2 linked regions of the Rhinolophus ferrumequinum genome follow. The protein of the gene in region 1 interacts with the protein of each later gene in a pairwise test. Links are inferred from orthologs where the notes say so. Each region holds a gene or a part of one and is shown on either strand. Other genes may lie near its edges. The genes, in order: PFDN5 and PFDN2.

Evidence for each region.
Region 2: the proteins of PFDN5 (region 1) and PFDN2 interact in binary tests that used the Homo sapiens proteins (3 or more experiments, as listed by UniProt). The link is inferred for Rhinolophus ferrumequinum from reciprocal best matches to the Homo sapiens genes PFDN5 and PFDN2.

What each region holds. Positions count from the first base shown.
Region 1 is NC_046293.1:53,183,692-53,199,102, reverse strand, and holds PFDN5 (prefoldin subunit 5), read right to left. Parts: upstream 7,977-15,411; 5' UTR 7,894-7,976; coding exon 7,822-7,893; intron 7,634-7,821; coding exon 7,531-7,633; intron 7,227-7,530; coding exon 7,195-7,226; intron 6,268-7,194; coding exon 6,193-6,267; intron 6,077-6,192; coding exon 5,971-6,076; intron 5,179-5,970; coding exon 5,105-5,178; 3' UTR 5,003-5,104; downstream 1-5,002. Other genes in the region: MYG1 exonuclease, read right to left, coding at 1,741-1,900, 4,245-4,357, 4,520-4,732; ESPL1 (separin), read right to left, coding at 8,828-9,029, 9,299-9,463, 9,629-9,712, 9,869-9,984, 10,142-10,246, 10,370-10,540, 10,651-10,806, 11,294-11,416 and 6 more. UniProt on the Homo sapiens protein: Binds specifically to cytosolic chaperonin (c-CPN) and transfers target proteins to it. Binds to nascent polypeptide chain and promotes folding in an environment in which there are many competing pathways for nonnative proteins.
Region 2 is NC_046305.1:2,291,659-2,306,750, forward strand, and holds PFDN2 (prefoldin subunit 2), read right to left. Parts: upstream 7,608-15,092; 5' UTR 7,542-7,607; coding exon 7,467-7,541; intron 2,536-7,466; coding exon 2,447-2,535; intron 2,339-2,446; coding exon 2,215-2,338; intron 1,724-2,214; coding exon 1,550-1,723; 3' UTR 1,423-1,549; downstream 1-1,422. Other genes in the region: KLHDC9 (kelch domain-containing protein 9), read left to right, coding at 259-418, 509-707, 942-1,108; NIT1 (deaminated glutathione amidase), read left to right, coding at 8,386-8,846, 8,939-9,042, 9,224-9,357, 9,501-9,626, 9,901-10,167; DEDD (death effector domain-containing protein), read right to left, coding at 11,479-11,855, 12,302-12,448, 12,708-12,815, 12,915-13,239. UniProt on the Homo sapiens protein: Binds specifically to cytosolic chaperonin (c-CPN) and transfers target proteins to it. Binds to nascent polypeptide chain and promotes folding in an environment in which there are many competing pathways for nonnative proteins.

The sequences.
Region 1 (15,411 bases):
TTACAGGTTTCACACACACTCTTTCATTTAATCTTTACAATAGCCCTGTGAGGATCTCAGTATCAACTGGATGAGGAAAGTGGGAATTAGCGAGTGCTTAAGGTCGGAGAGCTAATACCATGTTTCCCCAAAAATACGACCTAGCTGGACAATCAGCTGTAATGCATCTTTTGGAGCAAAAATTAATATAAGACCTGGTATTATATTAATTATATATTATATTATACCTGATCTTATGTTAGACCCGGTATTATGTTTATTATATTGACCCAGTCTTATATTCAAAGAAGACCGGGTCTTACATGAATTTTTGCTCCAAAAGATGCATTAGAGCTGATTGTCTGGCTAGGTCTTATTTTTGGGGAAACATGGTAGTGAGTGGCAGGGCTGGAACTCAGATCGTCTGATTTCTAATCCAGTGTTCACTCTATTCCACACAAAGCCCGAGCCAAGACCAGCATGTATGGGGTAGGGGCTGCTGACTTCTGAACAAGATCTCAAATTCCACGAGGGGCGCTGTGAGAGTGGATCCCTAGGCTGAGGGAGGGCAAATCGCCAGAGGGGCTGAGTGGGCTATTCAGTGACCGGTTAATGAAGTCAAGGAGGGTCTAGCCAAGCACACTAGTCACGTGGGAGGGAAGGGAGCTGGTTAGACGTCAAGCATGGGCATGTGATCCCAGAGAAACCCACAATGTGCCATGTGGCACCAGTAGTTGTTGCATCTCCTGAGCCTAGAGAGATGGCAGGACAATGCCTCAAGAGTTTGGAGGCAGAAATGATACAGAATATCAGTGTTTAATGCAAAATTGCCACACAAAATAGACCTCCATATCAACACCTCTGTGGTATGTACACCAAGTGCTACTCTCAGGGCGGCCGAGAAAGAAACTCCCATGCTCAGCACCTCTAGGTCTGGACCCCAACCTGATACTCAGTTAAATCTCGGGTGTAATTTAGTTCAATTGCTTAGAAACCCCTCAGCAGAGCGCAAACTGACCCAGGCAGGCTACCACCTTAGAATTCCAAAAGCTCCAACTGAACCATTGACATTTCTTCACTTGTTTGGATCATAGTAATGCTGTCATAGGGACACAAGACAGGTAAGCGGAGATAAAGACATGAACTCAACAGCCTGTCTGCAAACAATGAAGCTGACTGAATCTTCAGTGTGACTTGTGCACTTCACAGGAGTAGGGTCAAGGTGTCCAGAGTCACTGTTTGAGCCAACATGAATGCCAGGGCCACTAGCCCTGTTCCTTCTCCAGCAGCAGGAGCCTGCTGTGAGTTGCTTTTAGGGGATGCTGGTGGGACCTAAAGATATTTTCTCAGTCAGACCCTTCCCCACCGAGCTTCCCAACTCGTGTATCTGGTGAATTCTAGTGGTGCCTGACATGTGCTCCCTTCCCACTTCAGGGCATCCAGACCCTCCGAAGCACATGCTTCCAAACATAAGCAAGTTGTTGAACAATCATTTTTTAAAGTGTCAGGTCAAGAAAAACACTGGGAAGCACTGCTTTATGGTTTTCAAAGCCCATCCCCGTATGTTACCTCCTCCACTTCTCACCACCACCCCAGGATGGAGGCAGGAGATCAGTAAGATGAGCCTGAGGAAGATGGTGGTAGGCTAGCTATGGGCCAGGAACCCTAACCTGAGGCCCAGTCCTGAGTGCGGCGTGAATGTGACTCCCAGCGGCCTGGTGGAGATGCATGTATGAGGCATCTCTGTCCTTGTGTCCCCACCTTGTCATAGAGAGTGCCCACCATGCTGTCTTCTTCATTAGTGCCCAGCAACTGGGCCAGCAGCTTGTGCCCGAAGTGCAGATAGATGAGTCCCGCACTGCTCAGCTTGGTCTGCCATGGCTTTCCAGGGCACAGGGAGCTCATGGTCTCTGTGAAAGACCTGAGGAGCACAGGGAGATGGCGCTGAGGCGGAGCTGCCCTAGTTAACCCACAGTGTGCATGCATGTGCAGGCACAAGTGGGGGTGGGAAGACTGGGGAATACTGCAGGAGTTGGGAAGAGAAAGCCCAGCTGGGGAGGCTTTGGATTTTCCTTAGGGGTCAACATGGACCTCGGCTTGGAGTCTCCATGCATTCATTTGACAATGGTTAACTCAATGCTCACTGCATGCCAGGCTTTGTGTTTAGACATTGGGGATAAAAAATGAATAAGATACTGTTCAAGTTCATCTACTAGAGGCAGACAGACACACAAACAGCCAAGCGAATGCTCTAGCTAGGTTATAAACAGAAAGGGGGTGAGGAAGGGTTCAGGAGGAGAACTTGCAGGTCATTCCTGAAAGATGAATTAGTGGGTGAAGGAGAAAAGGTATTCCAGGTAGAAGGAATAACATGTACAATGGCTAAGAGACAGGTCTCCATGGAATTGCAAGAAAGGCAGCTTGGGTTTGAGGGTTGAGTAGCAAAAGAAAGTGGAAGGGTAAGCAGGGGCCAAATCATGGCAGGCCTTGTATGCGATATTTTGGAGTTTGGACTTCATCTGCAGGTAATGGGAGCCACTGAAAGACTTTTAAGCAGGCAAGTGCATGTTAGAAAAAGTATTGTGCCAGCCAGCATGGTGAACAGATGCAAGGAGAATACCTGTAGTGGTCCAGGTATGCGAGAAAGGCAGGACTTTGCATAGTAATGGGATAGAGAATAGGAAAAAGGTATGACAGTTGTTAGGGAAGTAGAAATTATAGCTGTAATTTCTAAATGCCAGTCCATCAGAATCACCTAGGGAGCTTATTTTTTTGTTGTAATGATCTTTATTGTTAAAAACTGAGTAAATACAAAAAGAATTATAAAATATTCATAAGGTATATATAGAGAGACTCATAACAAAAACTCCCCCAGATAAGGTTCAAACAGAAGCAAAACCAAATAAATTGTTGCTGGCAACAGACGTGCTAAACTATACACAACAAGGGTATGATGAACACACAATTCAGAATATTGCTTACTTCTGGGGGAGGCGTGCGGGGGGGTAGGATAGGGAAGAAGCACATGGAAAGGTGCGGACGCAAAGGTAACGGGAATGTTACAGATCTTAGGTAGGGACATTGGTTCACCAGTGTTCATTTTATGTTTTATAGTCCAGAAATGTTCGGCCAGCAACCTGAGTTTGGTTTTGAGGTCACTGGTGCCCTTTCCTTGAGTATGTCTAATGGAGAGATTGGGAGAGAACCAGCTGAATGAATAAACCAAGGAATGAATGGTATGAATTGAAGGGATGTGGAGCTAGGGTCAGCTCTTCTTTTGAAGACTGACTGAGAAGTGAGGGTGAGAGATTAGGTTGTAAATACCTGGAGGGTTCTCTCCCAACATCATTTATGAAAATAATATGTACACTTAAACAAAAGAGGGAGGAAAATACGTAAGACTTCAAACAAAATAATTTATCTTCATAATTCCTCAGAGATAACCACTGTAAACAATGAGGTATACATGAGGGAGAATTTTTTTTTGATTTGTTCCTTTGTTTTTAAGATGCGAGATGCCTGAGCGGAGTTTTAAGCTGCCAGCAAGGAGAAGTAGAAACACTGGTGGGAGACTTGCGTTGTGAAGTCCAAGAGGAGAAAGTAATAGATTGGAAAGGGGGCAAACAAGGGAACAGTGTTTCCTGAACTGGAAGGAGGGAGCTGAGGATGTTTGAGAGTGGGAAACAGGACATGCATGTAGGAGGAACTAAATTTCCTTGGAAAAGTAAGAGGCAGGGTGACTCGCTGAGGGATTTTGATGAGGTAGGGACATGAGGAGAAAAGAATTGGCATGGCAGTGTGGATAATGGGGTACCCTTGGAAAAGACAGATTTCCCGAGGGAAGAGTGTAAATAAAGCGAAGACCACACACACCAACTACCACCAACCACCACAATCACGTGGGCGCAGCAGTCTGAACCGGGGCAGCAAAGGCACATGAATGGATTAGTCCCAGCTGGGGTATTAATTGGCCTGACGACGGTGCTGGTGGGAGAAAAGTCTGAGCCAAGGAAGGAGGTGAGCCGTGAGGAGCCTACGGACTGACTGGGAGCCAAGGGCGGCCCGGGCAGATGCAAGGGTTCAGGGAGGTCCAAGGACAGGTGGATGGGCGCAGAGCAGGCGGAGAGCTAGAAGGATGGAGGGCTGCAGCCTCAGGGGACACAAGAGTTTGCTGTCTAGGATGAGGCAGTCCCTTTGCTGACACGGACGGCTGCATTGGAGCACTGAGAAAACCTGACGTGAAGAAAAGGTATCTGGGAACCCACCTCTGGTGATGGTCATATCGGTGTCTCTTGGGGTCGTATTCGCCACCCACGTCCACCACGATGTCGCAAGCAGCTAGTTTTTTGGGGTCCCGGGTCCGTACAATCTCCGCATCCTGCAGGGGAACACAGGTGAGGGGGCTGCCAAGAGCAGCGGGGGTTAATGTGAGGTTCCCACGGGAGCCGGGGAGGGTAGGAGTGCTCAGGCCGCCCGCCCGAGCTACCCCAGGACCCCGTTAGGAAAGGCGGGCAGCCCCAGCGTTTTTGGCAGGCTGTACCCGGTACTGCGGCAGGAGACGCAGCAATGCGCACGCCAGGGCCTCATCGCAGTGGAAGGTGCCGTTGTGCGTTCCGATTCGGGGCGCAGCCATGAGGCGGCTGCGGGGTCGCTTGGAGGGCGGCACGGACTCCGGGTTCAGCATGCGAGGCCGCACCTGGTGGAGTGGCGGAGGTAGCAGCGAGAGGAGACCGCGCAGAACTCCGCGGTCCATGCAGCTTCCCCCGCGCGCAGGCGGGGGCACCGACCCGGAAAGGGAAGCGGCCGCACAGCCCCACTTCCGCTTAGCGGCCGTTCCCACAGCAACCGGCCCCGCAGGCCGGGCAGGGTACGCAGCGCAGGCTTTCTCTCCCGCTCCTCCAGGGGTCCGAATGGAGCCTCCAAAATAAGCGCTGCCTCAGGCTCTGGGGACAGGCACACCCCCTCCACCACTGCCCTCCCAGCTCTTCACCAGTCCCTGGCTTAATGCAAGAAAAGACCAACATTTCTGCCCAGGTGGAACATTTATTAGCATTAAACATCCAAAGCCCTTCTCTTCCCTCCAAAAAAGTCCCAGGTCCCTCTGCCCCATTTCTGAAACAAGCTCTCAGGCTTTGGCAGCCTGAGTCACTCCCAGGGCTGTGAGCTGCTGAATCTTCTGGCTCATCATCTCCATGACAGCTGTGGGGAAAAAAAGACCCTGGTCAGGTGCTAAAGGGGAGAACCCAGAGTTAAAGAAAAATGACAGTGAAGTTTTAAGGACAGGTAGACGACCAACTACAATTAATAAAACTTTGAACAGTGATCCACTGTGGGGTACACACACACAAATTTAGAGTCTACAATGTGTCAGTAAATATGACAACTACTGGGATATAAAAATGAACAAAATGCAGTATTAAATGAATCAGACATAACCAGAAAATTATAACGTGGGAAAGATTTTTGCCTTTGGGACAATGGTTCTCAATCCTGACTGTGGAAAGAATCACCTGGGGAGTTTTTTGTGTTTTTTTTTTTTTGAAAAAAACTGAACCCTGGAAACCCTGCCTGCCCTCAACCCCACCACCACCACCCAGGTTGACTTAGTTGGTTTGGAGTGGGCCCAGGCTTTTTAAACTCCTTGAGTGATTCTAATGTACAGCCAGGTTGCAATTGCTAGTACTTAGGGCTATATTTATTTCTTGTGCGTTCATTTACATGGATCTCCTCCCTCACTCCATCCCCATGAAATAGGAACTCTGCAAGAACACAGGCATGAATTCCTTCCTCTAAATTTCTCAAGCACCCAACCCAAGTATCTACAAATAGTGGGTATGTAATGCACAGAATCTAGAGAACAACACATCAAGACACCAAAGAGAAAGACATGGTTTTAATCCAGCAAAGGGGACACCCCCGTGGTTCTCAAGGCAATTCATGTTGTCTATCATGGAGGCAGAAAGGGTCAAGAGGTGCCCATACCAAGCTTACCCTGTTTCATGGCATGCTTCTCCTGCAGAGCTGGCTGGATTTTCTCCATTTGCTTCGTGAGAAAGTCTATCTTCCTCTTGAAGAAGTCCTTAGCATCCTCAGCTGTCTAAAAGGTCAGAGGTGGATGAGGGGTTAACAGGACACCCCATGCTGCATTCTAAATCTTCCCCTAAACTCCCTTTCCCTGCTTAGAGGGGCATCCACATGCTTCTTTCCACTCACCTTCTCTACATAGTAGCCAGTTCCCACATCGATGAGCACGTGTTCCACATCATGTAGCTTCCCAGGGACATACATCTGAGAAGCAAGGATTAAGGAAAAACTAGCCCAGCATGAGTCATGATTCCTTATCAGCAAGCCTGCTTGGCCTCCTAAGAACCTCTTTTGCTAAAAAGCTACAAGGCACAGGGACTGAATAATCTGGAGGCCTTAGAACAACATCTATAAACTCCAAATGTGGAGAGACAGAGAAGTTGGTTCCTTATGGAGAAAACGACATACACTGAACTACTCTCTTGCCCTGATCCCATCCCCCACCCTCCAAGCAGTGTTTACAATTCTTCCCATTAGTCCCTCCAGAGAGACTACAGTATTTTCCTACTGTAAGTAGAGTAGTAAAAGTGAAAAGCCGGTCTCACTTCCCCTCAACACCCCCAACCATGAACTAGTTAATTCCTGATGGATTTAATGTTCATTAGTTAGCCAATCCCTACTACATTGCTATTTCCGTGTTTCTGTTTTAGCTTGTCAGTTCTCAGACTGCAGGTGCTGTACTGTGGTAACCTGATCATTCAAGTAAAACAATCAACAGGTAGCCACAATCCAGGTTTCTTAGTAACAGTTTAGGAATTAAGAGCCACAATTACGCTGAATTGAGGATTAATAAACAGAGCCAACTCCCTTGTTCCTATATTCTACCCTTCTATGGCTTATGTCTTCTAAGTTATTAGTAAAAGCGTAAACCACCAGTTTTATCTCCATGTTAGATTATATCCTCAAACAGCAAAGGGAAATAATCACACCTCAATTCTACATGCTCTTTGGTGCTCACAAGGCATTAGCTGCATGTCGGCCCCAGGTTATACATAAATAGGAGAGCTGGGCATATAGTAAGTGTTCTCAGAATCATGGGGGCACTCTGGAGTCATCAAAACTACACGCCTTTTTTGCGGAGCAGGGGTGAGGGAGAAAGGAAAGGGCAGGGAGTTCCTGTAGAAAGGATACAGAACTCGTCAGGGGGACGAGTAATTCTTTCCCTGTGAAAACAATTAAGACAAACATCTGGGGAAGGTTGGCAGCTCCAACCTTAAGAGGTTGAAGGGAGTTCCTATATGGCACAGCGCAGATAGTATGAAAAGAACAGAAACGGGCGGCAAGAGCAGAGGAATGTCCCGTACATTTCAATTCTGGATAGGTAACATGCAAAGGGCTCACGCTGCAGTACATAATACGTAATGAATTGTTTTCTCGTCTCACATAAGGAAGACTGGAGTAAGGGGCGGGACGAGAGAAGCCGGCTCACCACATCCCCCAGGTTGCCTTCGCGCGCCTACCCCATACCCTCGTTGTGCTTGTTCAGCACGTTCAGACAATCCTTGGCTTCCACATACTTGGTCTGTACCACCTTGAGCTGGGCAATGGACGTAGACAAGAATTCCACTTCCTACAGAGTTCAGGAAAGAGGGTCAGTGCAGGGACTGGAGGGGGGGGGGGCACCGCCAGAGAAGGGGTGGGGGTTTCGCAGGGGAAGAGAAGCCTTCCAAAGTGGGGAGGAATGGGGGGGGAGAGGGCGTACGCGTGGACAGGAGGGATGTGAGGCGGGAAAGGAGTATCTCTGGGGCCCGTCCCCACCTGGTCCAGCTGGTTCTTGAGCATTTCCAGCTGCGGTAGATTCAGCTCGGTGATGTTAACCGACTGCGCCATATTGGGAAGGAAGACTCAGAAAGCGGAAGCCGGCTTCGCGAGCGACGCTCTAGCTGTCCCTCTGCGCATCTCGATGGCTGTGCCTGGAGGCGTCGCTGCGCCAAACATCTCTATGATCCTCCGTCCCGAAATGGAATCTCGCCTTGGATTAGAGAAGATAGCCGCACGTTCTTTTCATAAAACATCCCAAGCCTGGCGTAGTCAAGTTGTAGTAAACAGGACTCCTGCCTTCAAGGAACTTAAAAATCTTAAAAGTACTCAGGCTGTAACCACAATATTGCAGAGCAATGCTTGCTACTCCACGTGGGCGGTATAAACCCAGTGACTGACAGGCAAGGAAGACGCCTGTGAAGTTCTTGGGTCAAGGGGAGTAAGTAGCATCGGGACAGTGGTGCTTTGGGAAGATGAAGCAGGAGAGTCTGTTGGTGAAGAGAACAATAAGGAGGCAAGTTATCAACCAACTACAGCACGAGGTTTATTAGTAAATACAATGTTTTACCATGTGCTAGATGTGAGGGATACATGAATGTGTTCGATCAGTGCTTCTGAGATTAACAATTTAATTGGGGAGCGAAAAGTCACACATAAGCAGCAGACCACAGAATCTGAGGCCAAACCAGGCCCAGCTTTGTCCTGTGGTTTTGCCCTTCTTCCCAATACTCTCAGACTTGAACTGCAAACTGTTCCGTTTACAATACCACATAGTGGGAGGAGAGTGGAGAGGCACCCGTCATATTCAAATGTTTTCAGATGAACTACACAAAACAAGGTTTAAGTAATATGTCTTTATTATATTAAAGTTAAATTAAAAGATAATGTTTCATATAAAACACTGGGGGAAATCACTTAAAATATTTATCCTAAGGGTTAAATCGAAGTATGGGAGGTAGAACAGTCATACGGCTTCTATCAGCAATAGGACAGCTCCAAGGAGTCACCGCAGGGAGACAGGCAAGCCATAGGCTACAGGTGCAGCCCCAATAAGATACTTGAGTCGGGGAGCCTGGCGGGCCTGGTTGACATAGTAGAGAAGGGGGGCTCCTGGGCCTGCTCCAAGCCAGCTCTGCAGCAGTGCCTCTGTGTAGCGGTCGATGTCACGGTCGGTCACATCCCAGAGGTTACCTAGAAACAGGGGACTGGGAAAAAAGAAGGAAGAAGTACAAAGGGCTCTAAGACAGAATATATAGGAAAACACGATTGATGGTGGTGGTGGGTGAGTAGAGGACTGAGCCAATGAGGAAGTCCCTTGGCCCATAGTTCTAGGAGAGAAGATGGCACAAGGGCCCAGGCATGTCAGGGAACTAGGATGGGAGGAAGGTGGGGCACAAGGGGAAGGATTTAGGGTTCAGACCTGGAAAGAACCTGGGGTTGGGACCTAGGATGGGCTTTGCCCCTCGAGACTCACCAGCCAGCCATGATATACTTGAGCACGATGCCAGCGCCCTCCAGGTTTCCATGCACAGCTAGGGCTGCACTGCTGCAGCCAAACAGCAGGGCCACCGCCCGGCAGCTCAGCCTCAGGACAGCCTGCCCATCCAGAAAGCGGGCACCGGCCCCATGCCCTGCATAGCTAAGGCAGAAGAAGCTGAGATGAGTCTGACCTAGCTGTACTAGGCCTCTGCTTGTCTCCAAAGGCATCCTGAGTCAGCCAGGAGCTTTAAGCCCCAAAGCAAACCCAAGTGATACCCTCCTCTGGGACTGCCCCTGCCCCCACCTCCCGGCCCTAAGCACTCACATATATAAGTCATGCTCCGTCAGGGCCGCCTGCACCTGTTCTGGGCTTGGCACCTCCCCAATCACCCCTTTCCAGCCAGCTTCACTGCAGGGAAAAAGTAGTAAGAATAAGGGTCATGTAGTTAAGAAAGAGGGCGGGAGAAGGTGGGCTGCAACATCTGATTCTAGAGAAAAGGACATGTTGCCCCTATACATTGTCTCTACCCTTCCCCACCCGCTTTCTTACTCTTATCCTCCTGACCTGCTAAAATTGGCTCGAAATTGCTCCTCTGTGCTTGAAAGGTTGTTGTGAGGGTTTAGAACGTAGAAGGTACTGCGTGGATCCACCCCTTGGCTCAGCACTGACGAGGCCCCAGACTGAGGAGGAGACACTGGTGATTATGATCCTGGTCCAGCCAGATGCCCAAGCTCCAACAAACTGCAAGCCCCGTCCCACGGCTCATCCACTCCTAGGACACTCTCCTATCTTCCCCCAATTGCCAATCATCCCCAGTCCCCACTCCTTGAATCCCACCTCTTTGGTGATGGCGTAGCTGAGTAGGAAGCGAAAGGAGGGCAACCGAGTGACAGGCAGTGCCCGGAGGCTGGGCATGCTTTCCCATGGCAGCTTCTGCAGGTCCTGGGCAAAAAGCACTCAGAGGTTTGTCCCGAGCCGGGTATATGCAGAAGTGAGAAGGGGCGTGGGGATGCGTTGGTGCCCACTGCCCACCAGACGCTGCCCCTCTGCCTCCTAGCTCCTTACCTTGTCCAGCACTAAGACAAGGTGCCTATTGCTTGGTACTTTCTGCCCCTGTAGACGTCCTACTGCCTCACTCAGGAGCTCTTGGGCTCGCTCTGGCCGGGCAGGGCACAGCCCGTAGGCTAGGGCCTGAATGTCCTGAGGGGTGAGTCTGCTGGCACCACTTAGCATGACCTGAAGGGGAACAGTGGTCAGTGAGTGCCATAGCTCCCCCATCGCCACTCACAATGGCAGGTGGGAAAGAACTGTCTAGCTTCCTCCCCTTCCCTGATTTCTCAACTCACTTTCAGCAGAGTGGGGTCAGGATATTTCCAGCCACATTCCTGCAGCAACTCTTGCAGGTGGTTGGCCTCCTGGGAGGGGCCAGGGTCCTCACTGGATGGCAGCAACAGCCCCCTCCAGCAGCCCAACACATGCTTCTCTAGGGAAGTGATGAGGGCCTGAATGAAGAAGAACCGCACCTCCAGTCAGAGAGGAAGCTGAGTTTCTCTCCCCGCAGACACCAACATTTTAGAGATGAGGAAATGGGTTTTCCAGTAAATAGGTTTGCCATAAAAGGCAAGAAGTGGAAACATTTTTCATTCGCTGAGACCCTGGGGGAGTGTAGGTAAGATGATTTGTTACATATCACTATGTTTTAGCAACTATGAACAGGTGGGCAATGAAAGGTAAAGCCAGGAAGCTGATACTTGGGCTTAAATCCTTTTTCTTGTATGTACCTTTAAACATTCCATTGCCATAACCTTCAAGTTTTGGGCCTTTGTTTAAAGTCCTTCCCAAGTAACAGAATTTTTTATTTAGGCCTCCACTTCCAGAAAGGACTTGAGGTAGCTCAGCACTGACCTGGCACCCTTCAGAGAAGCCCCCAGGCACGCACAGGTCATTCCTAGGGTAGGCATGACCCCACCCCACCCTGGGAGCACACACCTCCATCCTGTGGTCCAGTTCTAGCCGCCCTGTCCACCATTCTCGCTTGTCAGTACAGCTGCTGTTCTCTTTCTGTTCCTTCTGGATGGCATCAAACTCTTTGAGGGCCGAACTCAGAGGAAGCTTTGGGAGATGGGATTGTGAGATTTCTACCTGTTCACGTGAGCCCCATCTCTCTGTCGACCGCCACAGAAATATGAGCAGCTTGACCAGAGGCCTATCCCAGCCCAACTTTGCTCCCTAGACCCGGAGACCTACCTTGCTCTGGGCAGTGGGGATCTGCACAGTGACCGGGGGACTCTCTTTTTCCAGCCGGGTCAGCAGGAGGGTGTCACCCACTGTTCCAGGCTGGAGGGTGGCCAAGGCCAACACACACACAGTCACCCCTGACACACAGAACAAACCCAGAATCATTTCAGCTGTTACAAGGAATGCCCTAGACAACTCTAAGAAGCCTTTCCTGCTCACTGGATTTCAAGGTGTTCTCACAGCTCCCTGGGGACACAGACCATGTCTTGTACTTCTTTGTGTCCCTCACAGAAATGAACAAAGGGTGCTGCACAGAAGGAAGCACTCAAATCATGTGTTTCATGTTAGCGTAGGGAGACCCTGGACACCTGAACTTATCCGTGGAGAAAGACATTGAATTTACTGGTAACTCAAAGTTGAGGTTAAAAAAAAAAGACTAGATTTAGGGTGTGCCTGTTTGGTGAGAATCACAAAATGACTAATCAATGAAAAGGTAGGACATGTCTTTTCATAAGGATCACAAATCTATGTGAGCTAACTAGTACCTTAAACACCTTCACCCAACTCTTCAGTAAGAAGATGAATAAAAGGCCAGGAGAACCAGCCAAAGCCAGCTACCATACCCCTGGGGATCAGAGCCAGGCGCTCCCGGAAACTCTCCTTCTCGGGCTGGGGGAAATGGCCAGACCCTGACGTCCTGAAGGAAAAGAGGCGCTGGATGCGGGTCAGGGGGACATCTCCAGGCCTCGGCTGGAGGCTCAGCCCCTGGAGCTGCTCTGCTATTTCGAGTGATCCTCGGTGCTTCTGGGCCTTGCTGCAGGCAACACAGAAGGGGTGAGTTCTCCCTCCTTCAAAATCTGGACCCTCTGTCCAGTCTGCCCAGGACAAACCTTAGGAATGGTGGGCACTCACCTTAGCTGCCTGTGGAGGTGGGTGAGCAGCTGGTGGCGACAGGTGATGGAGACAGACTCAGTGATGAGGAAGGCAGTGGCATAGGGATCCTGCTGTCCCAGACACAAGGCCAGGAAGCGGCAGAGGTGAGCATAGAGCCCGCTAGGAGGGCAGTGACTGACCCCACGGAAAGCAACGCTCAGTGAGTCATAGATGGAATCCAGCGTAGAGACACCTAGAGAGAGGTCAAGATACTTGGCTATAGATGAATCCCCCATTTTCTAGCTGATAGGAACTTGCCAAGAAGGGGTCCCTATCTCGTCTCCCACTTGGAAAGTAGCAGCCACCACTTACGAAGGGCAATGTGCCAAGTAGGGTGCTGTGCACCTTACATGCATCACTTTGCTGTCCTCCCCAAACCCCACTTTACAGTTAAGTCAATAGAAGCTCAGAGAGGTTGAGTGACTTGCAAATAGGTAGCAGAGGACTAGAATTTAAACTAGAATCAAAGGCTGCAGATCCAGGTGGGGATCTAAAGCCAGAACCAAGACAGACCGGAAAAGCATTGGGATCAAGAGACCCAGCGGCGCAGCCCTCTCCAGGTGACCAGACCTCACCAATGGGTACCGGGGCGGAGGGGCGCTGCAGCCGAGGACGGAGACCCTGGTCGCGCTCTTTATCTGGGCACAAGACGGGCAGCTCCTCTTTGCTGGAATCCCGTCTCAACACCTCACATTCTCCTATGGCTGCGTCAGGCCCTGGAGCTGCTGTCTTCCCACCTGGGGAGAGAAGATGACTTTTCTGTGGAACAACCTCCTTCTGCCATCCCTTGTTCTCCCTGCCGTATCCAGTCCAGAGTCAGCAAGAGAACTTTCTGCACTGTCTTTGGCACCGGTTATGTCTTGTGCGTTGGTCCCAGGGCAGCCCCCTGAAAACATATGTACCTTCTGCCTTCCACCCCTGCCCTCATACCTGACGTTAACTCTTCCCCGTCAGAGCCCCTGAGGATCTCAAAGCTCATTTCCATCTGGTTGTCAGTCAGCTCCTCCTCAGGGATGGTCCTCCTAATCTCAGGGCTTCGCTCCTCACGATGCCCAGACGCCACCTTCTTGGGCCTCCGGCTCCTGCCACTGAGGCCCGAGTGCCCAGGGGTACCGCCTGGGGCAGTCACTGCATCAGTCTTCCAGCTTGGGCCCTTCCGAGCCTGGCCCCGGCCTCGGCCTCGGCCCCGGCCCCGGCCCCGGGGAGCAGCGCCCCGTCTCTGGGCGCCCTCTGCCAGCCGTGCCTCAACTGGGTCTTCCAAGTCACTGTCATCACTGAAGATTACCTGCGATGGGCGGGAAGGGAGAAGGGCCGCGGGGCCTTCAGTGATATCATCCGACAGCAGGTGGCGCTGTGGAGGCACCAGCACAGAAGCCTTTGGGGAAAATTTCAGAACCTCCCACACAGACTGCCACACTCAACCAGGGGCAGTAACTCCTGGGTGCTGAAGGAGGGAGAGGAGAAGGGACCAGAAGATGAGGAGGGATGAAAGGGGAAAGGAAGCGTAGAGTTAGGGAAAGTGCCTTCTGTCTGAAACAAAGGTAGACTTGGAAGCAGGTCTTGCTGTGGAAGATGTAGGGATCCTGCAGGATAACAGGAGAGCTCAAGGTCCCATCAGTCCCTGGGAAGCTGCTCCACAGACACCTGCGCTGCGGAACTCTTCTCCAGGACCACCCAACACCAGCACCACCCAGCCAGTCCTACCTCACCTTCAGGCGGGTCTGGATCCTCTGTTGTACTTTAGGGGCCTTGGGAATCTCAGGCTTGTTCTTTGTAGGGGAGACTTCCTCAAACACGGTGAAAGGGACACAAGGGCCAGCCTGCCTAAGCCGGCCTGGGGGCTTAGGTGTACAGGGTGGTCCTCCACCTTCCAGACCTTTCAGAGAGGTATTATGGAGGGGCAGGGTAGCAGAGACCACTTGCTGGCGCCCTCGTCCAGAAGGTTTTTGGTTCCGAAGCTTAGAGGACTCTGAGCCTGGGCGGGGCTTTACTGATGGTGGCTGCCAGCCCCAGGAGTTTGCAAAAAGCTGCGTAGTGCAGCAGCTGAGGCCAGCCAGCTTTGCAAGGGCCTGAATCAAGAGCAGGCTGGCTCGCCAGGGCTCCAGGTGGGGTATCCGTGCTGCCACAAACTTCAACCCTGACTTCAGGACTTTCTCCAGGCTCTTGTTTGATGGCTGGCTCAGCCCCTCCTGTGCCAGCTGTGTATATGCCTGAGCCAAGATCTCATCGAAGAGGCTCGGGATGGGGGAGGTGGTTGCCTTGTGATTCAGGGAATCTTGTAGAGCTTGGGTGAGGCGCTCAGTGGCTGCAGGGCAACCCTTCAGGACAACCTGCAGCAGATCCAGACTCTGGGCCTGATGACCCATGGCTAGTCTCACCCGTGCTGTGACCAACACCCAGCGTAGACAGACTGCCGAGAGGACAGGGCTAGCACAGAGCGAGCAGTCACAGGTGGGCAAATGGGTCAGGAAGCCAGGGCTGGGCTGGGGCTTTGTTTTCAGGATTGGGGAGGAGTTAGTAGCAGGTGCTATGGGACCAGGCTCCTTGGACAGAGTGGCCACCAGTTCCAGAGCAGGGCCTCTTATGAAGAGCTCCTCTTCTGGGAGTTCTGGAGGACAGGGGACCCAGGCCTGCTGCTTCCCCTTCTGCAAGTGGACCTTCTTCACAGAGTCTGGGTGCTGGGCTAGTCCACAAAACTCTGAGGAAAGAGCAGAAGAAGAATTACAAAACTGGGAGCGGCCAGATGGCTCAGGCAGTTAGAGTGCTGAGCTCCTAATGCCGAGGTCAATGGTTCGATTCCCACATGGGCCAGAGAGCTGCGCCCTCCACAACTAGACTGAGAACAACAGCTTGAATCGGAGTTGGGGGGGGACGGGGGAAAAAAAGGAATTACAAAACTGGGAGAAATGATACCAAGAACTTCCTGAGCTACCCCA
Region 2 (15,092 bases), on another chromosome or scaffold:
TTTATCTACACTCTGGAAAAGCCAAGGCTAACCAATACCGTTGGCAGTTTATCCCATCCTCACCCTGACAGTCTCTATCCTGGGAAGATGGCACCATGTCTACGCTGGCCCAACCCCCCCACCCCCTCATCCGACCTACCTCACCGTCCCATGCCTCCTCTTGTATCCTTATCAGAGCGTGGAACAGGGGAAAGGGCAGTACAGCACTTCGATTCCCCAGAAAACCCAACTCAGGCCCGAGTTTCTGCTCCCCCACAGCTATAAGGAAGAAGGCTGCCACACAGCCTCACGCTCAGGGCACTGTGCTGCCCTGCTTCCAGCTCCTGGGCACCGCCCAGGTCACCAGCTGCTGCTCTTTGGTGGGTGCAAGTCAGCGGAACCAGAAGTAGCGGGGCGCTGGAGTCCTGGGCAGATCACGGTACTTATTACCTACTCACACCTTGCTTCGGGTGGAAGGGGCTACAACTCGGCCCCAATCCTCCGGACAGTCCCTCCTTTCTCCCCCAAGGAGGAACCACCTGCTGCCCCCCGTTTGACGCAACAGCTTGCAAAGCTTGTGAGCAGTGGGCAAGGGTCCCGGCAGGGGCCCGCAGGACTACGGCATCACTCGTGTTCTGTGGTGGGGCCCTTTGCTGTGCTATTTGGTGGAGAGACTCTGACCAGAGCTAGAGACACCATCTGCAATGACCTCTACATCTACGATGCCCGTGAGAGACAGCTAATGGTTGAGGACGGGACGGTGGGAAGATGGGAGAACCTGGAACCAGAGAAAGAAAGAGGGTAAAGTGGTGGGGCAAGGAGAACTAGTTGGCAAGTTAAAGGAATACACAGAATACTGAATTTTGAAGAGGCCTGCCAATCAAGTGAGGAGAAAAAAGGGGCAAGCCTTTGGTCTTGGAGCCCCATGGGTGCCAAAACCCACCCTCTGCCTTACCCAACAGGCAAGTCTCCTCCCCTGTGGTTCCACTTTGCCTGTGCAGACCGTGAGCTGAAACGCACAGGCCATCGGACCTGCCTCTGGAATGATCAGCTTTACCTGGTTGGAGGTTTTGGTGAGGATGGCAGGACAGCTAGTCCACAGGCTTGCATCCTGGACCTCTTTATCTAATGAATGGTACCAAGACACACCGCCAAGCTTGTTTTGTCCTAAACTCATAAAGCATTATCACCAGAGTTACCTGCCTCGTGTCAAATGCTTATTAAACTTCAACGTGAAAGTCAACATTGGTCTCTGAATCTTTTGGGTGAGGGCAGTAAATAAGTAGACACATCTTTATTTGCAAGGGAAAGGATCAAATAAGGGACCTCCTCTGATACTGTGAGCCATTAACCTGATGGGATCAAAAGCCACAAATCATAGGCTTTTCCCTGTCCCCATGCAAATTCCAGCCCTAACTGTGGGAGAAAGCATCAGGCTAGAGCTAAGCATTCTGACCAAAACATTTAATTAACAAAAAAAATATTACAATAGCAGAGAAAATAATAATAACAATAAAGACAAATTAGAAGATGTAGGAGTCAGGGTAGAAAAGATGCCACAGCCTCGGTCCTAGGAGACCAACACTCCAGCCGAGCTGGCCTTAGCCCCAGCCCCTTCTGAGCTGTCCTTGGCCGGCTTCTCCTCTTCCCCCATGAGACGAATGTTGTGCTTTTCCCGAAATTCATTTAGTTCTTTTCCCTTTGCCTGAAGCTGCTGTGTCAGTGTCTCAATGATCTTCTGTATCTAGAGGACAAGCGACAGCGATTCCGTAAGAACTCCAGGACTCCCTCCCCCACCGCGTAAGGACTACGGTTGACACCTCTAACTTCACCTTTAACCTGGAAGTAAGAGTAGACCCAGAAGCCAAAAGTTTTCTTTTCTCAAACACAATGGTTCATAAACGTGAGGGCACATAAGAATCACCCAGGCTGCTTATTTTAAAAATGCCACTTCATGGACCCCATATGCAAAGGTTCTGAATCAGGAGAGGGCCTTGGAAGCTGCGTTTTACATCAGTCCCCCAGGTGATCTGGATGCAGGTATCCACGGACTCCACTGTGAGGAACTCTAGTCGAACCCCCTCCCCACCCACCCCCCCCCACACCAGCCAGGTCAGCGACTGGGAAAAAGTGGCACACAGCCAGTGGCCCTCGCGTCCAGGAGCTGGACGCAGAACAGCGTGAGGAGCACGGCTCCTCGGCAACCGCTACAACCTGAGCCCCCCTCCTGCTCACCTGCTCCTTGTTGTTCTCCAAGGCCGGCAGCACCTCCTTCACAGTCCGCTCCACCAGCACACCTCCCACCATGCGGTAGCACCGGCGGGTCTCGCCCACCTCCTTCAGCGTGTCGATCACGAGGCTGCGTGGGGACAAGGCAGGGCCTGAGACCCAGGTCCACTGTACTGCCACCCTCCCTACAAAGTGGCCTCCCAACTGTCCTCTTGTTCACGTCTCCCGGCTCCCTGACCTGTGCTCATTCAACTCCATCTCCAGCTCAGCTGCCTTGGATGCCAGGCCCCGCTGTTCCTGCCGAAGGCGGTTGAAGCCAGCAATTACCTAAGAAGGAGAGAAAGACGAGAAGTGAGAGAGGAGACGGGAAATGGCAGGCTTGGCAAAGCTGCAGTAGCACACAGATGCCTTGGGAAAGGACGAGGACAACCTGGCACGTCTGACTTCAGTCTGCCTGGCTTTCCATTCACCCGACACTCGCAGAGCCCCCCGAGTGGGAGATGCATGCAGGTCCCTCTTGCAGTTTATGGTGGAGGAAGAGCCATTTGTAATGTGGGTAGGTGGACAGCTCCTGGACTTGCAAGGAAAGGGGGGCATCAGGAAAAGCTTTGTAACGAGCAACTCCTGTTTACTCTTACTGGGATCAATGGAAGAGGAGAATTACGATCGGATGCATCTGGAAAAGGATTTTCTAGGGTATCGCTCCACTAATTATCTTTCCAGTTTAGTGCCCTCTTCTCTGACAAAAATACTCCACTCGACCGAAGAAAACTTCTTTGACTTCACTACTCCATCAAATAATGGTTCTCCTCCCTGTCGTCATCAAAGTTTTTAGGACTAGTCTGTACTCACAGCCTCCACTTCCTCACTTCCCATGCACTCCCCACACACTGTAAGATGCATTCTAATTGCTTTATGTGTTTACTAGTTATAAACTATTAGTACTTACTAAATTGTCCTCTCAAAGATCGTGAATGGCCTCCTACATAATTGCATAATCCAACGACCTTTTCTCAATCTTCAATCTGCTGCTTGAAACCTTTTCCTTTAAGTAGCAACATAGTATGATGGAAAGACTCCAAATGTTTTAATCTGACCTGGGTTCAAATTCTAGTTTGGCTATTTACTTGCTATGTGACCGAGTTACTTAACTTCTTTTGGTTTACTCACTTACAAAAACGGAGCTAATACACCACAGGGCAGAGTCTCTCAACATCAGAACTACTGATATTTTGGGCGGGATAATTCTTTGTTCTGGGGGGCTGTCCATTGCACTGCAGGACGTTTAGCAATGTGCCACTAAAAGCCAGTAGCAACTCCTACTTGTGACAACCCAGGCCCTCTCCAGGTCAAGTGTCTCCTCGGCGCAAAAATCACAGCAGGCTGAGAGCCACTGCCACAGGCAACAGTGAGAGCTACACTGAAGTGACAGTCAAGTGTCTGACAGAACGTAGGCTCTCAGCTCTTAGTTTCCAGGACCCTTCGTTCTCTGGTTCTCCTACCTCTCCCAACACTCACTCGTTCTCTGTTCTGTAAGTTCTTCCTCTCACCCCTACAAGGGAGACAGGGTCTAAGACTCTGTTCCAAGTACCCCTCCCTTTATTACCTATATGATTTCAGTTGGCATTCTTAGCTACTTCTATGATTTCAACAATCGCCCTCATTCTAATTGACAACCAAGCTAGACCTTCTCAGAAATTCTAGACCCACATTCCCAAGTTAGAGGAAGGAGCCTTGGGTCAGACAAAATGGCTCAAGTCTGACCATGAGCAAGTTATTTCTTTTTTGAATCTAAGTTTTTTCTCTAGAAAAACAGAAACATCATCTGTCTCATAGGATGTTGTGGGGAGTAACTGATTACATCAGGGATTTAGGACAATAGCCAGCATCTGACAGGTTGTCATTAAACAGTGCTGCTATTATCACAGAACCTCTCCACCTCAATGTCTTAGGAACACCTCAGACTCAGGTCGTTTAAAGCTGAGCTGATCACCTTTCACCCTGTTTTAAACTGTTCCTCTCCTTGTCTCCCCTATTTTTGCTAACGACAGCACTCTAGCCCTCCAGGTAGGAAACCCCGGTTCCATCTTTGAACACATCCGTATCTCATCAACTGCCAAATTTATTGCACCCACCTCAGCAGTTTTTCTTCGGCTCAACGACATCACCCTAATTCAAGCCTTTATTACCTCTTGTCTGAACTAGTACAAGTCTTTTAAATTATCTCCCTATTTTTGGACTCTCCAAATCCATCCTACACACTGCTGCTGGTTTCATTTTCCTAACACTTAGATGACATAGAAAAATGTTCATGATGTATTATTAAGCTTAAAGAGCAGATTACAAAACAGTATATATTATATAATACAACTTTTATAGAACAGTATATATTGTAGAATGACAATGTTATAAAATATGTAAAATACACACGTCCTCCCTTTTTATCCACACACACACGCGCACACACAAACACACACACACACACACAAGGAGGGGAAATCTCTCAGAGAATATGCTCCTAGACAGTAAGAATGGTTCTCTCTCGATTGCAAGGTCATGGTAATTTATTTCTTACTTTGTACTTTTCCCTGTGTATTCTACAATCTTCTCAATGAACGTGTATTATTTTATGTAATAGGAAAAAAACTCAATAGTGGAACACATACCCTTCTATCACTCCCTCCCTGCTTCCATCAACAACTCCAGAATTCTTTGTCGTGCAAACATCCAACTTACTTGGAAGATCACATCTTTCTGACTTATACCTCATGACTTCATTAAAACAACCGGTCACTGCCCTTCGCATCAATCTATGCTCTGTGTTCTCCCCTTCTTCCTGTTTCCACTACCCCTGTTCAAAACTATCCACTCCTTCAGGCTCAGTTCACGTTCTTCTGGTCTGATCATTGTATAAGTGAAAAAAGTAGGTCTGTCTGATTCTCAAGTCCCTCAATTAAAAGCCCTGCTCTTCCAGTTACTGACTCTGGGTGAGTGAACTAAAGCCTCTGAAGCTCAACTGTCCTTATCTATAAGGGAAGACAATACAGCCTACTTCAATGGCAGTAATTAAGTAACAGAAGAGAAAAACCAGTAAAGTGCCTCGCACAATCAGTTACTTGCTTCCATCTTGTTTATAAGTGACATATGTGGCTCCTATTTGCAGCAATGATAAATCTTATGCTTTTTACCCAGCGTTCTCTCTGGAACACAAACAAAAGCCAGAGTGTTAAGCAAGAACAGTCTCAGAACTCAATGATCACACTCCTCAGTGTCTTCTGAGGGCTTCTTTCTCCACCACCCTTACATGTTGGTTCCACCCCATTCTGCTTCTTTTTTCACTGTCTGTACAAACCCTAGATGATTTCATCCACAACCGTGGCTCTGTCTACTATCCAGAAAGCCACAATTCTCTACCTTAGAGCTCCAAGTCAGATTTCTTTCTGGAAGTCAAGATTCATAAGTCGAACCACTTAATAAATGTCTCTACCTGGATGTCCCACAAGAAACCCAAACTCAAATCCTACAATAAACTTATTCCCTCCCCCCAAACTTGTCCATCTTCCTATACTCCCTGTGGCACCACCATTCATCAAAGACAAAAGCCTGAGAAACATCCTAGATTCTCTTTTCACCCTATTTTCTGCACATTCAAGTCTTGCAGACCATTTCGAACTTTAAGTTCACCTGCATCCCAAACATGTCAGGCAGTTTCATATCTTAGTGCTTTTAAACACATTGTTCCCTCTACCTAGAAAATCCTCCACTTCCTCTTTGCTTGACTCACTTCTCTCATCCTTTAGAATGGAGCTGAAGGATTATCTCTTCTAGAAAACAAAATAATTAGCACTTATTAAGCCCATACTATATTCCAGTCACGGTGCAAAACACTGTGCATGCATTGTCTTGCTTAATAACCAGTATTCAATGAAGAGGTAGGTACCATTAGGTTTTCTACAGGGCAGGAAAGGCCGAAGAAGTAACTCTTGGGAGGTCATCCTCTATGGTAGAAATGGTCAAACACATGTCTGTCCGACCCCGGTGCATTTCTTATCTTAGTCTTAGCCACCCTGCTATACCACAGCTTCCCTTTCTGCCACCACCCCCAATCCCATAACCTCCTGCTTAGTTGGGGTCCCTCCTCTAGCTGCCCTAAATAAGGGCCTGTGTGGAACACTGCAAACCTTATTGTTTGGTTTGTCTTTTCTCAAAGGAGTCAAGCTACCTTGAAAACAAGGTCTATTTCATTCGTCTGTTTCCCTGGACCCAGCAGAGTATCTGGCACATAGCAGACCCTCAAAAAGTATCAGGTTCCCTCTCCCTTCCCTTTTCCCCAACTAAATCTGAGGCTATGTCTTCCTCCCTCCTCAAAATCCCACAGCACTTTATAGCTCTCTTCGGACACTTACCGTCTGCCTTATATTAACATTTCGTGTTATCTTACGAGTATTTTCCCCAAGCAGACTAGAACTCTTCGATGGCAAGGGACAGTTTGAAAAAAGACGTCTTTACGCTGATACATTTGCCTGAGTAATTGTTCAACGAATAACTACTGAAGGAATCTGTAATTAAAAGAGCTACTGTTTAGCTATGTTTTCCTTTCTCTTGTGTAGATTTCTTCTCATCTCTATTAAACAGTAGCCCCACTATTAGCAAAACATGCTTCCCAAACCACAAAAGGCGTTCTGATTAATTTATAAAACGCTGCCCGATGCTGGGCACTAGGGGGAATGCAAACTCGGATTAGAAGAGGGTTTCTGGCCTCTAAAGAAATTCAACCTAATAATGACTCCCGACTCAAAACAGTATGAGTGTTCGGCTATGTGCGTCACGTGGCTCTGCAGTGACTGCAACTGTCAACTTGGTTTCAGGGTCGGGTAACACTACACAACCAGCCCGAGGACGAACCCCCTGGGATTCGCTACGAGCGGCCCGGCCCAGCTACATCCCGTCTGAGGGTGCGGAAAAGAGGGGGACGTGACGACCCACGTCCCGCCAGACCTGTGCATCTTCCCAGGCCCTGCATCTGACGGCTCTCGCTTCCAGGGGGCTCACCCAACACCCCACGGCGGCGCGGCTTTCAGCTTCCAACGCGCCCACTCTCCCGCAGGGCTCGGCTGCCTTCTCCCACGACCCTCCCCTCTGTGAGCGGCACCGAGCGCGGGACTGGAGTGAGGCCCGCAGCAGCCACAGGCTGCCCTCCTCTCGCGTCGCCTCCGGGCCCTGCCCGGCTGCCCTCCTCCGCCTTCTCCGCTCCTCACCTGCTCCGCCGACACCGCCCCCTTCCCCGCGCCGCTCCCGCTGCTCTTGCCCGCGCGACCGCTGCTCTCCGCCATCTTCGCCGCCCGAGGGGCTTCCGGCGCGCAGAGCAGACCCGTGCGTCACTTCCGCCCGCGGGGTTTCCGCCCGCTCGCCCCTGCGCCGCCGCCTCCAGGCCGCTCTCGGGTTAGGACCCTGCGAGTGGTTCTGGCCGTGTCTTCCTGGAGGGCCTCCTCCGCGTCCCGCCGGCCGCGGTGAATGCCGCCCGCGGTGCTCTGACCTGTGCAGCCGAAATGCCCGCGCTGCGAGGGCAGGGAGGACGGGTTAACGGGAGAGTGGGGGCGCGGGCTGGGGCCCGCGTGCCAGCGCCCCCGTCCACCGCGGGTGCTGGGAACCAGGGAGGGTGAACCTGCCGTCAGACTGGGGTGTGCGGGAGGTGCACTGTCAAAGGAGAGGCGGGGAGCACCAAGGAAGTCTCTGGGAGAGGCCTTGGACTGCTGAGACGTCGGGCAGAGGACGAGGGCTTCCGTTTAACGCGAGATCGCGAAGTCGAGGTTTCGTCCTTCTTCCCATCTTGTGATCTCTTCCCGTGGCCCATAATTACCTGTAACAAAGAGCGTCTTCAAGACTTGGGCGCGGAGGGGGGTGTTGACAGGCAGGGCCCTGATTCAGCGGCACAGTATGAAGAGAGAAGTCAGAGAAGCCTAGAAATTCACGGCTTGAGGGAGGGGTAGGTGTCCTTATTTCTCACTCTCCTCAGGCAGGGCTTCATCGTAAGGCCTCATCAGCTCCTGTCCCTTCTGTGCCCTGGACTCCGGATACCTCGACTCTCAGTACTCTGTGCTCAGCCCAGGTAACGTGTTTGTCGTATCTTCAGTGCCTGGCACGTAGTAGGTGCTCAAATGTCTGTTGGATGAATGGATGGCGGGAGACAGTGGGGTACGAGCCATCCACAGAACATTTGATCGGTGGGCCATTGTTCCTTGTACAGCAGCGTCAAAGGGGTGTCCAGCTTTCTTGCCTCCCCATTTGAGCCCCTTGCCGTTCAACTTGGGTTTCCCCATGCTGGGAAATCTGAGTCCTGCCTGCGCTCTCCGCAGGGCCAGAGCCATGGCTCACTCCCCATCCTCCTCCTCCTCCTCCTCCTCCTCCTCCTCCGGGGCACTACCCCTGGTGGCTGTGTGCCAGGTAACGTCCACACCAGACAAGCAGCACAACTTTAAAGCGTGTGCTGAGCTCGTTCGAGAGGCCGCCCGACTGGGCGCTTGCCTGGCTTTCCTGCCTGAGGCATTTGACTTCATTGCACGCGACCCTGCAGAGACTCTGTACCTGTCTGAGCCACTGGGTGGGAGCCTTTTGGGAGAATATACGCAGCTGGCCAGGTACCAGGGAAAGGGGGAGGGAGGGAGTTTCTTTGTTGGTTAATGTCTCTGGATTGCCAGATATGAGAAGTGTCAGTGTCCCCTTCCCCCAGGGAATGTGGACTCTGGCTGTCCTTGGGTGGCTTTCACGAGCGTGGCCAAGACTGGGAGCAGACTCAGAAAATCTACAACTGTCATGTGCTTCTGGACAGCGAGGGTGAGATGTCATAACTCTAGTCTGCCTCTTCCCAGGCTTTTCTAAACAATTCTCCAGAATTCTCAACAGGAGTATCCGTACTTCTGTTCCTGGCCTATGAACTATCACCTTGGGATGAGAGGAACTAAAAGCTGGGCTTCTAGAGAACCAGCCCCAGGTTTCCTCCTCTCTTTTACTCCAGGGTCGGTAGTGGCCACTTACAGGAAGACGCATCTGTGTGACGTAGAGATTCCGGGGCAGGGGCCTATGCATGAAAGCAGCTCTACCATGCCTGGGCCCAGTCTCAAGTCCCCCGTCAGCACACCAGCAGGCAAGGTGGGACTGGCATATAGTAGGACGAGAGGGAGGGGAACAGGGACACTGGCATGTAGTAGAGGAGCAGCAGCCCTAAGGAGTAGGGTAGCAGTGTTGTGACAGACGGGATGGGGGCTAACCAAGCAGGCTGGTTTTCCTTCCAGATTGGTCTTGCTATCTGCTATGACATGCGGTTCCCTGAACTGTCTCTGGCATTGGCTCAGGCTGGAGCAGAAATACTTACCTACCCCTCGGCTTTTGGATCCGTAACAGGCCCAGCCCACTGGGAGGTAAGAGGACACCTCTTCAAAACACACCTTCTCTCAACCTGTCTTCCCTCGGCCCTGCCAGTTGACAGACTTTCTCTCCCTTCCCAACTAGTGAGAAAATTCATTTTCCAGATTGTTGCCTCTCATATGTTAAAGAACAGTTAACATCGTAAATCTTTCCTAGGCAGTTACCAGAATGGTCACAGTGGGTAGACTGGCCTGCAGTGTCCATTGCCTGTCAGTTCCCCACTAGCTGCTACGTGTGTGCGTCAGTGAAACACATCCCCACCCCCAGGTGTTACTGCGGGCCCGTGCCATTGAAGCTCAGTGCTACGTAGTGGCAGCAGCACAGTGTGGACGCCACCATGAGAAGAGAGCAAGTTACGGGCACAGCATGGTGGTGGACCCCTGGGGAACCGTGGTGGCCCGCTGCTCTGAGGGACCAGGCCTCTGCCTGGCCCGAATCGACCTCCGTTATCTACGCGAGTTGCGCCAACACCTGCCTGTGTTCCAGCACCGCAGGCCTGATCTCTACGGCAGTCTGGGTGGCCCACTGTCTTGAGACTTCTCACTTTGGGGCGCTGAGACCCCCATTGTGAGCCGGGGTTGCTGTAACTTATGGGCAGGACCCAGGCGCAGCTCCCCTCACTTGGAGGCTCAGCTTCTTGGCAAAGAAGAAACTCACCTGAGCTCAGATTTCAGTTTCAGAAAGGTGGAATTTTATATAGTCACTGTTTATTTCAAGAGAACTGAAATTATGCTGAGGGCTGAGCAGCACTGGCATTGAAAAAAAATATAATAATCATAAAGTCTGTGTGTGGACATCTCCTTCGGGAGCTGAAATGGGAGGTGGTGCTGGACCAGCAGACTAGGAGCCATCCAGGCCTCCTGGCTCACGCCACAGGCCTCCCTACCTACATAAAAGTGCGACACTCAGTGCATGGCCTGGCCCCATGCTCCCAAGCCCAGGAGTGGGAGTGGGGGCGGGGGTGGACAAAAAAGGGAGCTGATACTAAATTCCTTCACTTTCACCTACTGTGCCCTGTGCCCAAGCCAGAAGGATGCAAAGGGGAAAAGGGCTGCAGGGTCCATCATTTATTTTCACTTGAACATGGAAGGAAGGCTCACACTCCCCCTTCCCCTTTTCAGGGGGAGTCTATTTTCATCAGCAGCCTCGCCCCGCCCACCCGTGCATGTGTGCACAGACACACCGCAGTCAGTGGGGAGGGGCGACCAGACTGACCTATTCCTCTTACCTACTCTCCCCTGAGGGTTTAACAAAGGGGACAAAGGAGGAGCCACACCAGGCAGAGGTCTCGGCCATGGTGTGGAGGGAATGAGGCAGAGGAGCAGCACCAGAGGCCAGGAGACAGTGGGAAGGGCCACAGCTTGTTTTTAAAAAATTCTGTAATTTGGGAGAGGGTGGTGATTAATTTCCAAAACCCACTTCCGAGTCCCACCTTCCACACAGCTCCCTTACTCACAGCCCTTTGGTTTTTCAGACAGGATTTAAGAGCCCTCATGAAGCCAGTAGCACTGCTGACCCCCACGCACGCACGCAGACGCAGTGTTCACTTCAGTCCCTTAACGGAGACTGCGCTACAGCCTTTGCTTGTCCCTGCACATCTGTCTTCTGGCTCAGTGGCAAGGTGGCTGTAGACACATGGGGTAAGTGGGAAGGGGGACAAACAGGAAGCCCAGGCACATGGCTGCAGGGAGGGGTGGGGACACCGCTTCCATAGTTCTTTGTCTTTTCCTTAAAAAAAAAAAAAAAAAAAAAGGCAGGGCTGTGACTGGTTGGCAGGGTAAGAACAAACCCCAGAACAGAACAGTGTGCGCTCCAGACGTGAGTGGCGGGGCAGCCCCAAGGAGGTCAGGGCAAGGCCTGGAGCATCAAGTTCGTCAGGAGCTTCTGTCGACCCAACTCATAGTCCTCCTCGTCCACGTTCACCAGCAGCTTGATAGCTTCGTGGCCCACGGCCTGCTTCAGGGAGTCTGTGATGAAGACACCTTTGAGCGCCTCCAGTAACGAGCCGTTGATGTAGTCGCGCCAGAATGCGTCGAGGTAGGTGAGCTCGGAGAACTTGATGTCGCAGATGATGGAGCCCAGGTCCCGGGACTTGAGGATGGTGTTGGCCTGGTTGAAGCGCTCAAACTGGCGCTCGAGCGGGTCCTGCCTGTTTGAGAAGACGTTGCCTTGCAGCGCGGTCTCGTGCTGGCAGTACTCCGCCCGGACCCGCAGTCTGATGTCTGGGGAGGAAGACGTGCACAAGAGGCTGCGGTCAGGGGTGGCTGTGCGAGAAAGGCTGGCAGAACAGGGTGGGCAACACATGACACTCCCTACCTCGCCCCTAGGACTCGTTCCTTCCCAGGGCCTGAGAGACCCTGGCCCTAACGCAGGAGGTTGGATCAAGTGGGCCAGGCCAAGGCCAGATTCCCCATCATTCACAAGCGGCCCCTTCTTCTAACAGGCCTTTTCCTAGTCACCTCACTACCTTGTCATGACCTGGCACCGTACAATGTGGATGTCACAATGGCACCACTTTGATTTAGTATCAACTAAAAAGAGCTGAAATGCACCCTGCCACAGAGGGGGAGGAGCCCGAGACACCCCAGCCTCGCTGTGCAGCCACCACGCGAGCCCAAATGCCCAGGGTCCGCAGTCCTCGTGCCCTCTGCAGCCCCCACTTCCTCACCACATGTCTGCTTTTCCTTGGGATCTGCTGTCACTGACTTCCGGCGTTTTCGCTGGCTCCCGAGTGTGGCTCTCCCTCGAGCTGGCCTCTTGCTACACATCTGAGGGCCCGGAGTGGGGCAGCACACCACAGGATAGTGGGGAGGCACTGACCAAAGGGTTAGAGGGGAGAGGACAAAGTCAAACACCTGCCACGCAACGAGGGGGGAATCACACTGAGCACGGAACACAGTAGCCACGATGTGACCCCCAGGTCGTGGACACCTGGGGACAAAGGGCCAAGGTGACGCAACAGTGCCTCACCTGGCTTATAGGGCTACGTGAGGGGACAGTGTCCTTTCACTTAAGCCGGCAGAACTGGGGCTAGGATGGGATCACAGCAATGAGGGGACTTCATATCCTCTCACCTGTTTTAGGGGGTTGGGTGGGCCTCGGTTCTGGGTCGCTGAGGGCTCTGGGGGTCACATAGCGAATCGATGTCTCCTCCAGATACTTGTCCACGAGGTCGGGGCACACTGTGGGGGAGGGGTCATTCAGGAAGACACCCCACTTCTGGTGCAGCCCTCCCGCGGGGCCTCCCCTGCCCCTAAGCCCCCAGCCCCGGGCGCCCTCACCAGCCCGCCTCCGCTTGAGCGTGACGTAGGGCAGCAGGTCATGGCGAGTGATGACGCGCAGCAGCTGTAGCACCTGGCGGAAGTTACTCTCATCGCAACGGCCCTGGCGCTCCAGTGCCAGCAGGAAGTCACGTCCGTTCCGGATGAGGCCCCGCTCGTGGTCGTCGATGACATCAACGAACAGGAAGGAGAGCACGCGCACGTCTCTGTGTGTCAGATGGGTGCCCACGACGTCGAACATGCGGTGCAGGCTGTAGAGCCCGTGCTCCAGCGCGCCACGCTCCTCCGGCCACACCTGGCTCGCACGCCGCTTCAGGCCCGCCATGCTGGGCTCAGGGGCGCAGCGCCTCCCAGGGGTCCCGCTCTGCCGCTGGGGCCCCCGCTACACTGCAGGGCAGGGAAAAACCATTGTGGAGAAACAGTGACTTCTCCTAAGGGAGACTCAGGGGCAGTTTCAGTGCTGCGTTTCCAGCAGGAGTTGCTCATAGGTGTTACCATGATTGGCCCTACTGCCACCAAAATACTGCTTTTGGTTCCTTGTTCCCTCCCCACCTCCAGTTCACCTCTTAAATGTAGGCAAAATTGAGGAGAAGAAGAGAATTCACTCCAACTCCATTGTGGAAGCAGTAACAGATGAACTTAGGGACGAACGGCAGGGAAACTGAAAATCTTTAGGGCGAGAACGGTTCGATTCTGTCTGCATCATTAAGCTGTTAGCTGTGTCACCTTAAACAAGTCACTTAACTTCAAAGTCTCAATGCCCCTGTCTACAAAACACGGATTGAAGAAACCACTCCTCATTCTCTTTAAGAATCCACTTAGAAAAGACATGTAAACCACTTTGTAAACCTTATGTACATCGTCATGAAAGAGATTTCAGAGAGAAGCATCCCGGACCTCTGCAGCCCAGACTTGTCCCTCCAGAACCTATCCTTAGGTTTCCTACCAGCCAACCAAGTCCAGGAGGTCAATCAGTACTCACCCAAAACCGTGGTGGGCTCACACCCACACACCTGCCATGCCCGTGCTGAGTGGCAGGAGGTGCCACTTGGACATGTTACCTCCTGCCTTTCCTCATGGCTGTCATTTACCAGTCACAGCCCTACGCTCCTATCAGCGGGCATTTGATTCAGAAAGCCCCTCCCTCATCCTGTGAATGACCCAGCCCAGGACCCATCCTCAGGTCCAACAACGTTCACGTCCGCTCCAGTCAATCATACTCACTGCCCCCCAAGAGCACACGCCAGTACTGCTCCACTCTGAGCACAACCTCCAGCCACCCAATCACCTATAAATCCCTGTTGACGCTGCTTCTGAGTATTTCCCAAATCGGCCTCACCTTGCCACTGCCACCGCCCTGGCTCAGGTCCCAGGGAGCTCTCACCAGGGCTTCTGCAGCGGCCGCCTTAAGGGCACTTTCCCTCCAGCCTGTATCGCCCAAACCCCTCCCCACACCCAGCTAAACTGCTATCTACAGTGCATGCCTGACCATCACTTTTCTGCTAAAGACCTGTCTACAGCCCCTCCTGACCTGTAACACTCCCAGCTCCTTACACAACACACCAAACCTGCCCACCTTTCCAATTTCTACCCACCTCATTCTCTAAGGTGACTGTTTACAGTGCACATACATCACTCCATTCATTCTGTCCCTTTAGGCCACTCCCTTTGCCTGAATGCCCCCATCCCCACCGTCTTTCAGATGGGCAGCACGTACTGCCCCTGTGAGAGTCAGCTCAGATGCCACCTTCGAGTTCCTTCTCTACACCACGTGGCTAAGTAGCCCTCCTCTGTGCTCCCATGGACAGTCCTGTTTCCTTGAAGCCATTTATCAACGTGTACAAAAATTATTTGTGCGTTGATTGTCCCATTAGATCTTAAGCAACTCGTTAGAGGGACTAAACTACATCTGCCTTTAGATTCCCAGTGCCTAGCAGTGGCCTAGCCTCGCATACACTGACCTCCATGTCAGAGAGGTCATCACAGCAATACCAATGAGGAGACAAACTCACGGGAGTCCAAGAGGAAGAGGACCTCATTAAAACCAGACACACGCAACTCAGAGACCATGCTGTGCTCTGGCTGTGGCCTCCCCACACTGCAGGGCTGCCCTGCTACCGCACCCTACTCAAGAACAAGGGGCTGTCTGTCCCTTTCTTATACCGAGCAACTGGGTCT